Linked DNA regions of Drosophila melanogaster. The protein of the gene in region 1 interacts with the protein of each later gene in a pairwise test. Each region holds a gene or a part of one and is shown in the gene's direction. Other genes may lie near its edges. The genes, in order: Ccp84Aa and scaf6.

Evidence for each region.
Region 2: the proteins of Ccp84Aa (region 1) and scaf6 interact in a two-hybrid assay, tested with the Drosophila melanogaster proteins (one large-scale study listed by BioGRID).

The regions. Positions count from the first base shown.
Region 1 is NT_033777.3:6,702,419-6,705,570, forward strand, and holds Ccp84Aa (Ccp84Aa), read left to right. Parts: upstream 1-1,665; 5' UTR 1,666-1,728; coding exon 1,729-1,740; intron 1,741-1,795; coding exon 1,796-2,401; 3' UTR 2,402-2,485; downstream 2,486-3,152. Other genes in the region: Ccp84Ab, read right to left, coding at 1-313, 390-401.
Region 2 is NT_037436.4:17,036,288-17,044,531, reverse strand, and holds scaf6 (SR-related CTD associated factor 6), read left to right. Parts: upstream 1-1,957; 5' UTR 1,958-2,072; coding exon 2,073-2,094; intron 2,095-2,258; coding exon 2,259-2,429; intron 2,430-2,491; coding exon 2,492-2,838; coding exon of another isoform or gene 2,839-2,847; exon of another isoform or gene 2,848-3,598; intron 3,599-3,930; coding exon 3,931-4,093; intron 4,094-4,321; coding exon 4,322-4,394; intron 4,395-4,901; coding exon 4,902-4,976; intron 4,977-5,198; coding exon 5,199-5,275; intron 5,276-5,338; coding exon 5,339-5,537; intron 5,538-5,599; coding exon 5,600-6,601; intron 6,602-6,658; coding exon 6,659-6,826; intron 6,827-6,897; coding exon 6,898-7,212; intron 7,213-7,276; coding exon 7,277-7,448; intron 7,449-7,501; coding exon 7,502-7,600; 3' UTR 7,601-7,673; downstream 7,674-8,244. Other genes in the region: POP5 ribonuclease P/MRP subunit, read left to right, coding at 1-52; Papst2 (PAPS transporter 2), read right to left, coding at 158-314, 377-558, 615-1,466; beg (bad egg), read right to left, coding at 7,694-8,244.

The DNA.
Region 1 (3,152 bases):
CGGCGGTGTACTGGACGGTCCTCTTGTAGCCGTCAGCGTCGATCAGGGAGTACTCTCCGCGTACCACATCTCCATCGCGCTCCTCCACCTGTCCCTTGTTGTCACCGGTTAGCTTGTCATCGACTCCGTAGGAGAAGCGGTACTGGGGGTGGGGGTCGTACTCCTCGGCGGCCTTGACCACGACCTTTTGGGCGACGGCCACGGGGGCGTGGGCGTAGGTGGCCACCGCTGGGGCAGCATGGTACACCTGTGGGGCGGCGATGGGAGCATAACCGGCGCTGGCCACGGCGACGAAGGCGAGGGCGAAGACAAACTAAATTCAAGAGCGTTAGATATCCAACCGGAATTTCGTATACAGTTGATCCCGGATTTCCATCGAGATGACTCACCTTGAAGGCCATGTTGCTAGGAGTGCTGATTGGTAGTTCTTTACAGAAGTGAACTGGATCTGCGAATGATACTTTTCTGTGTCCGATCGACAACTTTTATAGTAAATCAAGCTGCCAGCTCTGCTCTGCTTTGGCCCAATACGCCGACAGCACGTGTTATTTTCGCGGTGACAGCGAAATATATTAAATGCTTCTCGACTGCGATTGTTGTCGGGCAATAACTTGTACTTCCTGTTCGTGGCGCTAAGCTCAGTGGGTGTGCAAATGCTTGTGGCCACAGATTCTAAACCCGTCAGCACCGAAAGAGTGAAAGATCTTTGGGGAAAGGTTTGCGTAATACCGAAAGGGCTTTGCCGGCCGCAATGTGTGGCTAATTACTTTGTTATATAACGCTGTATAAGATCGCTTTAAGAAGATATACTGATCATATATTTTTTTCTTACAAAGCAAATCGCAAAATTTTGATTAGGTTTTTTTAAAGATTTTCGAATCTTTAGAGTTCACTGTGCAATCTGATTGATATTCTTTAAATACTCTATACATATATGATTATAATTATACGAACGGATTTGCAATCTTAAAGAGTTGAATGAACTTTACACTGTGCTGGATAAGAAAAAACTCTTGAAAAAAGATTAATATTTTTTGAAATTGGTTGACACTACAAAAACTGTGGTTCTAAAAACTAAAAGCTAAGTTGGGTCTGCGTTAGTGTCCTAAGGAACACAACTACTTAGCTACATCTAAATACCTAACATTCTATTTACACTCAGATAATAATTTATCAGATACACATTTAAGAGTTTGGCATTTATGGGTCTTAGAACATAAACGTTAAAAATATATTACACAATGCATTATTTTTGTACAATATATAGAAAATCGCTGCTTCATTCAAAATAAATGCCCTTTTGCGAAGTCTGTGGGAATCAAGGCCACCCACCAGACATCCACGATCCCATCCTTAAAATATCTTGGATAATCGAAACGCTATTAGCAGATGCAATCCATTCCCAACTACCAATTTTAACGTGGGCACCGCGCGAATCCGCCGAATCCTTTCTAAATAATTGGACTGCATCTCGCATTCGCAAATCCCTTCTCCTCTCTTGGTTCTCTGCCGGCGTCTCTGCCGACTTTGCCGTTGACTTCGCAGAGCGGTGACTTCGCGCTAATTTGGAGCATGATATTCAGAAGGCCAAGCGTAAGCACCTTGCTTCACCTGAGCAGAAACTGCAAGCGGGAGCTATAAAACCGCTGGCCGGCCAGAAACCGTATCATTCAGCCATCAGCACCGTTTCCGCAAAGAACTAACCCACGAATCCAAAAACCCTATAAAATGGCATTCAAGGTGAGTCCTGTGGTATCCCACCAGAACCCGTTTCTCTAACGAATATGTTCCCCAGTTTGTCTTCGCCCTCGCCTTCGTCGCCGTGGCCAGCGCCGGTTATGCCCCCATCGCCGCCCCACAGGTGTACCACGCTGCCCCAGCGGTGGCCACCTACGCCCACGCCCCCGTGGCCGTCGCCCAGAAGGTCGTGGTCAAGGCCGCCGAGGAGTACGACCCCCACCCCCAGTACCGCTTCTCCTACGGAGTCGATGACAAGCTAACCGGTGACAACAAGGGACAGGTGGAGGAGCGCGATGGAGATGTGGTACGCGGAGAGTACTCCCTGATCGACGCTGACGGCTACAAGAGGATCGTCCAGTACACCGCCGATCCCATCAACGGATTCAACGCCGTTGTCAACCGTGAGCCCCTGGTCAAGGCCGTCGCCGTTGCCCCCGTTGTGAAGACCGTCGCCGCTCCCGTTGCCCAATACGCCGCCCCTGCTGTCGCCCACTACGCTGCTCCCGCTGTGGTCAAGACCGTGGCTCCAGTTGCCCACTACGCTGCTCCTGCTGTGGTCAAGACTGTGGCCCCAGTGGCTCACTATGCTGCCCCCGCTGCATATGCCACCTATGCTGCTCCCACCCACTACGCCGCCCCCGCTGTTGCCTACCACCCCTGAGAACTGACATTCCACATTGCCCAGCTCTTTATTGTTATAGTTTTACGAACGACTTCTATATATATAAAAATATATTTCACATTTAAAAAGGTTATATCACTGTATCCTATCCAAAGGATATGTATTTCCTGGGGCTCAATTCGATTCACGAAGCAATACAATTTATTGTAATTACTTTTGCTTCGTGAGGGCTAAATTAGAGTGGCTGTGTGGCCAATTAATTGAATTAGGCTGCGACATTGAAATTCCAAATTCCAAAATTCCAAAGTTTTAAAGTCAAATTGAATTTTTTCTTTCAATCGCTCCATTCCATTGAGATATCTATGATGTTCGATTCGGGTCTGGACGTTGGCCAATCCTATCAACGAATAATAAATCATAATCAGATCGGTGTGAAATATTCATGTGTGCTTATAAAAGCAATTAACGGATATATAATATAAACGATTTTTTCGTTTGCCGGATTTCGATTTGATTTTGCTAAATGGAACTTCAGTGACCGGCTTTCCCATTCCCCTCTTTGCTCGTACCTATTACCATTAATTTTTTGTATTTAAACAATAGAATAGACTGACTACAAATAGTACACTTCCAAAAAACTCGTATAGAATCATACTAATTAGAATTATTAAATAGAAATGATGTATCTATGAAACTTGCTGTGATTGTTCAAACTTTTCAAAATGTTCAAGCAAACGCAAACAGCTTAGTTTTATGAATGAGTTCGGTTTTTTGACTGCTGAGATGCAGT
Region 2 (8,244 bases), on another chromosome or scaffold:
GGAGCGCCAGGATCTCTTCAAGCGCGTAATGGAGTTCGACATGGACAGATAGCACATAGTTTGTTTAGAATGTAATTAAGTAATTATATTTAATGGTTTTCTTATAGAAAACCCATGCTTCCAATTCAACTAAAATGTGAGTGTTTTTGGTATCGTTCTAAACTTCGATGAGGAATTTGCGACTCGGTGAGCGGGCAACCTTGGCTCCAAATTGCTTTATTCTCTGCCGGACGTCGGCCAACGTCAGCTTGTTCCTCTTGCTGTAGACATTGAGATATATGCCCAGGACAACGATGAGGCCCGACCACAGATATCTGAAAGTTTGGGATAGGTATAATAGAGCTTTGTCTTTAGAAATACACAGAATAGTACTTACTGTAAGGTAAAGGGCTTGCTGAAAAGCACAAAGGAGAAGGCTATAGTCACAGCCTTGCGGGCGGTGGTCACTGTGGCAGCTATGGGGGCACCACTACTCCTCACCAGAGCCAGCACAAACTGAATGCCCAGATAGCCGGACAAACTAAAGAGGAAGCCATAGCCGAAGGTCTCAACGGGATGCTAAATGGATAATACACTTTAGATCTCTTACATCATAAACCTCAAATGTTACCCACCTCCAAACAGAATGCAAAGCCGCTGAAGAAGTTGCCGGTAACCAGCATAATCACAAATAGGTACACAAAACCCAAGCCGTATGAGTAGAACACCACCTCACTGCTGGGCGCCTTGAATTCCCGCATCGCCTTCTCCTGGACATTGCCAATGGCTGCGTCGCAGAGCAGCGCTCCCGAAATCATGGCCACACCAAGCAGATTGAAATTGGGCGTCATCTGGGAGTCGGCCAGCGTGAACCAGGCCAATCCGATGCACATGCAGGTGGCTGCCGCAAAGTCCAGCAGTCCGTAGCGTTTGCCCTGTATGAGGATGCTGCCCACCAGCACGGGAATGAGCTTGCAGCACTTGAAAATCACCTGGGTGGGATAGTTCAGGTAGCCGAGACTTGAGTTGGACAGACCCATGGTACCCAGCGTGAGAGCAGCCAGAATTAGGTATGTTCTCATGGGAATGCAACGTGGCTCCGGCTCAATGTTCCAAAAGGAACCGCCGCTTATCCGATAGCCCTCCAGCCGCCGCTCCACCAAACCGAAGCCGATGTAGTAGCCAAACTGGACGAGCGTGAGGAACCATCCGTAGGGTTTGAATCCTTCGACGGTGAAGATCAGCTCCTGCAGATAGCCGTACAGGATGTACAGGAAGAAGACGCCGGCGCAGCTGAGCAGGAACTGAGTTGTGCGATTGTAGTAGGTGAGGTCAAAGCAAAGGATACGGAGTTCCGGCGGAGATTCCGACGTCGAGGACTTCCGCTGCGAGGGCGGCGAGTTTCCCGCCGATTCGCCGCCATTAATGGTGATAACGCTCCCCTTATTATCGGTCATTCTGCTGCTAGCGGATGTGTCTATATACATATACACACTATATAGTGGCTATTTCAAGATTATATTTCCAGGGAGCCCGTGTAATTCAATGCCACGCTGTCCGCGGAGTTGTCGGTTTAAAGTGCGGATTTGTCATGCCTCCTCGGATGCTGCATTAATCACGGGCCGGCGTGGAGATTTCTGTTGGGTGCAAATTGCCCTGGCTAAATGTTTGTTTACCACAAATAAACTATTTTTGTCAGCTTAGAACTGAGATAGACGCGCGGCGTTGCCACGTTGTGGTAATAATAGAAGAGAGACCGGTATAACGTGGAACAAGTTGGCAGCTCTGCTACCACCGTCATTCTAATTGGAACTTCTGCTACTGGCAATAAATACATTTAACAAATGAGCAGCGATAAAGGTTTAAGCCGCTTTTTTGCTCAAAAAAGCGTATGATAAGCGCTAAAAACTACTTAAAAAGTAGTGCCGAGAGTAACTCCTAGTATTTGACTACATGTCGTTCTAAGAATACAAAGATATGGGCACACTGTCGGAAAAAACAAGAAGAAGCAGTGAAAAGTGCCGCTGAAAAAGTGCAAAAAGTTATGAATTTAGTATTTTACATAGGATAATAGTGCTAATAACAGTCGCAAAATGGACGTGCAACCGCCACGCGGTAAGTGCAGCAATTAAAAAGTGCTGAATATAACTTAAAATCAAGCTAATTTTGTGCCCAAGTCGATTGGCATGCACATGTGTACACATACAAACAAACAAGCGCACGCACAACCTTTGATATGCTCACATTTTTTGCAAAAACCATTTGCTTTCTATTTGCAGATGCCAGTTTACGAAATATTATCGACAAACTGGCGGAGTTTGTGGCCAGAAATGGGCCGGAATTCGAGGCGATAACCAAGCAGAAGCAGCAGAACAATCCAAAGTTCGAGTTCCTCTACGGCGGGGAGTTCGCCAACTATTATCAATTCAGGGTGGCAGCGGAACAAGCTCGTGAGTGCGTTCTAAATTGGTGGAAAATAACCCCTATAATCTCCTTTTAACACCCAATACAGTGCTAAAGCAACAGGCCATTAACCAACAACTGCCACCAGGTGCTCCATCCGGCCACTACATGCAACATCCGCCGCCAATGCAGCAATCCCAACCACCGGGCCTCTATCCGCCACCCAATCAGCAGCCACCGCACCCGCCCGAAACCGCACAAGACAATATGCAACAGCAAACACAGCACTCCTGGCCGCCGAACTCCGGCAACGGTGGGCCGCCAAACAATCAGCAGGCCAATGGCAATCCCATGGCCATGAATCTAACGTCACAACTGGAAGCCATCAAGATGCAGCAGAAGTCGCTGCGGGAACAGATCCAGCAATCCGAAGCGAATCTCTCCGCACAGCACACGGTAATTTGAAGTTGGAAATAACTGGGATACCTCTATATGCCCACCTTTGCAAGCCTTTTTCCGAAAGATTAGAGCAGCTCGAGTGTATAAAGAAAAGATTTCAATATGATTTCATGTTGAATGTTGGCCTCCTCTGGCAAAAATTTAAAGAAGCAAATTGGTTTCCTTTTTAAACTAAATACCCACCTAAAAGTTGCTTTTATAGTCTGAATATAAGAACGTGTTTGCTTCTTCGAATTTTTGACCTCCCTTTTAAACGACCCAATCGAATGTGAATATACCTCGATTTTAAGCCAGAATGCTTTTAATTATTTTCTTAAGAGAGAAGATAACTTGTATAACCCTTATATACTTTCGGACTTAAATGATTTCCAAAGATATTGTCATAGACTCATAGATGGCAGTTTTGTATTCCCTAGTTTTTGTAATAACAACTCTGGAACAAGAGTTCATCAAATGGTGTTTAATATTAATAATTATGAACTGCTTTTGTGGACTTTTCACTCTATAAGTACTGTGAACTAAATTCTTTCTAATAAGAAGGACATTTCTTATTGCTTGTCGCTATTGAATTTCCCTGTAATGGAAGTGACTTCCCTCTTGAAATTGTTTCTTATGAAACTAATCCACGAATTCCTCAGAATAATCAATCCTGCTCTCGACCCTTTTCCAAATGTTTTTTCAATCGATCTACTCAGTTCTTGTTCTCCAAGTGCGGATAAGATAAAGTTAAAGTGTACTTTCAGCAATATCAAACTACAATCTATATTTGTCATTATTTTTACTATTTAATTAACAATTTACAATGCTACATTAAATTTTTGCTTTATTGTATTTTTTGAAACATAAACCAAAAAAAAAAAAACCAAATCAAACCACTCTTCATACCAACTGACAAAACTGTATAAAAACAAAAAAAAAACAAATCCTAAAATCAAATTTGTTTTGAAACGCTTGTCAAATGAATCCCAAAATGCGAATATGCATGCGAACAAACCTTTGTGTGCCTAATGACCAAACCGAACCGATCCGAACCACACCAACGCTTGCGATCCTAATCGCACCAATCAACCAAACGAAACCAACCTGTAGGCCCTGATGAATCAGAAGACCAAGCAGATCGAGGATGCAATTGCGGCGGCGCAGACGGCGCAGCAGGAACAGATGGCTGGCGAACAGGGCATTGTGCTGAGGGACTTCGATGGCGTTCTGCAGCCGATCATCGAGTCCTGCACGAAGGACAGCATCTCTGCAGGTAAATACGAGTTCAGCGGACAGGCTGGATTACATTATTGCTTGTTTGTAGTCTCGTAATCAGTCATAAGTTAGCTAATGGAGCTGAATTTTTGATGCTCCGCAGCTTTGCTGCACACAAAGCGCACACTAAATGAATCCATACTACTTTTTGATTAATCCTAAACCTAATTTATAATCGCCATGGACAATGACAATATGAGTAACCCGTTTGATATTGCAATTTTAGGCAAGAACTGGATTTTACAGCATTCAACCGACAGCGCAAAAATCAATGTCGTTTTACAATATCTTTTAAAGAAGTATGCCTCAGTTTTATACCTAATGACCTGCAATATGTATTAATTAAATTGTGTTTCTTTCTTTCAACGAGTGAAATACTAACCAAACATAGAAAAACGAAATACGAAATATCGAACAAACAAGTGAGAGATGATCGATTGAGCGATTGTGCGATTGAGACTTCCACAGAGAGGCTCGAGATTGATTCGTTGATTCGTTTTCGAGAGATGTTATGATCATATATGAGTAGTCCCCAGATCCGGAAGTCTTTTAGCTAGGGCCACACACCCAAACAAATCATTTTACTTAATAAGCTTAACCATAAACACGCACAACAACACACCAACACTTAACAGTGATAATCATCGGACAAAAAAAAAAAACCAAAAAAAAAAACACAAATACCAAAAAGAAAGAAGATTTACTAACAAAAATCATTATACTTGCACAACAAGTACTTTTGGCAATGTTGTTGTGCATACAGAGAACTAGAAAAATATGTTTTTCGTTTGTTAATTTATTTTTAGGGCTTTGGTCAATGGTTCAACGTTTCAGCAAAAATTGCATCTTATATATTTAGTTAATGATATACTCCATCACTGGTAAGTTCGCCCAGTCAATTATTAGTATAGTATAGTATTTAAGGGCCATAGACCTCAATAACTAACCCACTGAGCAGTAAGACTACTTTGTGGGTTAGTTTCTGCGGACGACTACGCTGACAGAATTGGACTGAACCTGACCGACCACCGGACTTCGGACATCATACCTTGACATTTAGAGTAGCTAGGAGATGAGACCTAAGTCCAACGATATATTTACAGCATGCGCAAGAACATCAATGACTTGAAGAACAGCCTCGAGAACGTCGTCATTCCGATGTTCTGCAGCGCCGACTTGAGTATGTATTTCCACTTCGATCCATTCCTTTACGGATTTCTAATAGTGTTATCCTCGCCCACAGTTGGCAACCCCGACCAGCGCCAGAAGCTAGCCAAGCTGCTGTCTCTGTGGGAGTCCAAGGCGAAGTTCTTCGATGCCTGCGTCATCTCGAAGCTTCAGTCACCGGACTCGTCAATGCAGGAGTACAAAACCAATCTGCAGAACACACATCATGATATAACTGCTAAATTCACGCAGAATACCAAGGCGACTTTGGATAAGTAAGTATAAAAGTCCAAGAACATAATAGAGCACATAATAAACCATAACTCTTATGCTTCAGCTATCAGAAACAGCATCATGTATTTATCCAACATGCTAGCCAGCAAATTGTGCAGCTGGAGAAACAGGCGCAGCACCTGGAGCAGCAGATTGTGGCCCAGAAGTCCCAGCAGCAACACATGCTTCAGCATCAGCAGAAGAACATACCATCGCTGATGTCCCACCGAATAGCAATGCCGGGTGACCATGAGCACATGAATAGCCAGGGGCCGCATGATCAGCAGCATCCGCAGGCGGGAAATAATATGTATCCAGGTGGTAACTTCCAACAGCAGCAGCCACCACCGGGGAATCACTTTGCGGATCCACGCGGACCGAACTTCTTCATTCCGGACATGTCCAAACCACCACCAGGCTTCCCCGGACCCATGCATCATAATCAGGGCCCAGCAATGGGCCAGCAGCAGCCACAACCGGGACAGTTTCCGCCCATGCAGGCGCCGGGTTCTGGCAATGAACCACCTGTTGATCTTGGCGTTCTCAGTGCAGCGATTCAGGCGTGCTTACAGATGCAGCAGCAACACCATCCTGACGACCCTCAGCAACAAGGACAGCACCAACTGCAGCAGCAGCAGCAGCAACAACCGCAGCAGCAAAAGCAGCCGCCGCCAATGGCTGCCTATCCCCAGAATATTGTTAGACCTGGCCAGCAAAATGCTGATAGCAGCGAAGTGGATCTGGATGTGCTCAATGCAGCCATTCGCGCGGTTATAACCAACAAACCCGAAGACGGAACATTGGAAGATGGCCAGCAACCACAGAAATTGGTCGACGGAGAATCTGGAGAACCTGTTGTGATCGGAGAGCCACAAATACCCACAGCGCCTTACTACGACCTGCCAGCGGGCCTCATGGTGCCGCTCATTCGTCTGGAGGATTACAACTACAAAGCCCTCGATCCGGCGGACATTCGACTGCCAGCTCCAGCGCCACAAAGCGAGCGATTAACAAATGCATTGAACGCCTTCTATTCCGCACCCTCACACGATCGTCCAAGGGATAAGTAAGTATTTCAATTTGATGTTATTGAGCGTTCCTTATAAATGGGCTTATCTTGCAGTGAGGGTTGGGAGAAGCTTGGTCTCTATGAGTACTATAAGGTGAAGAATGCGGCGCGAAAGCAAAAAGAAGAGGAAATCAAGGACGGCATTCGAGAAAAGTCGCGGTCGCCAAGTCCGATTGTGCTCGAGAAACCCCTACCCAAAAAGAGCAACAAGCGAGTTTATCGGTGAGTGTTGGTTTTCCATCAAAAATTTTCACACAAAAACTAGAAATATTTGCACTTATTTTCTTGCGCAGATCCAAGAGTCGCAGTCGCTCCCGCTCAAAAACGCCGCCCCATCGAGATAGATCGTTGTCTCGCTCCCGATCCCGCTCGCGATCCATGGAGCGCTCTTTAACGCCGCCACCGATGAATCGGAGCAGGTTGGGCGGTGGTAACAACCGCAAGGGTCGCAATCGATCTCCTCGCCACGAACGGGACAACAACAGCGGCAGCACAAATACCAGAGAGGGCCGTGGTGATCGTGGCAATTCCAATAGCCGAGACAATGGCAACAGCACCAACCTAAGACGAGTGGACCGCGACAGATCTCTAACACCTCCGAGCTTTCTGTAAATCATGGCTATAGTACAATTTCATGACAGTCGGACCAATGAGCTATCTTTGTTTTTCCAGGGGAAGCACATTTGCCAAGCCAGCGGATTTCATCGAGGAATCGAACAAGGGCCACCAAATGCTCATGAAAATGGGTTGGGCGGGCACGGGAACTGGACTGGGCTCAAAGAATCAAGGCATCGACACGCCCATTTCGGGAGGCGAGGTGCGCGATCGTCGAGAGATGTACAAGGTGAAGTGGCAAGAGTGCGCAAGAAAGGACAACTTATAATTTTCTATCCACAGGGAGTGGGCGCTAATATGCACGATCCCTTCGAGAGCTTTCGGAAGAACAAAGGAGCTGCCTTCGCGCACCGGATGCGATCGCGAGACGACAAGAGTTAGGATCTGCCAACGGTCATAACTTCCCAGTTTTTTGTTTCCTTTAGCCCAGAAAATATACATTTTTATAAAAGCGAACTGAATTTTTATACAAGATTAGGCTATAACATTAAAGCTGGATTGAGCGGCCTTGGCATTTACTTTTTCCAGGACCTGGACCAGGCCCTTGCCAGGACCGCATTCGAAGGTGCGTGGAAAGTCGACGCCCTGCTTGCGCTCGTACATCTCGTGGAGAGTCTGCTCCCACTTGACGGGCCTCACGATTTGCTTGGGCAGCTGCGTTAGGATGTGCTTGGCATGGCGATAGGGTTTGCCATCCACATTGGAGTACACTCTAATGACGGGGTCCTGAAGTCGCACCGTTTTCAGGGCTTTGGTAAATGGCTCCACGGCGCTTTGCATTAGAGGAGTGTGAAAGGCGCCACTGACAGCCAATCTCTTCATCCGCCGGATTTTGAAGGACTTGGCATTTTGTTCCAGGAACTCCAGGGCCTCTACGTTGCCGGCCACTACCTTGCAGTGCGGATACATGTAGTTGGCGATGCCACAGTAGGGCGACTCCACTCCTTTGTCCAGACACCATTGCTGCGCACGAGCGCAGGCCTCTCCCAGATTGGTATCCGGTCCGTAGAGAGTCATCGCCATGG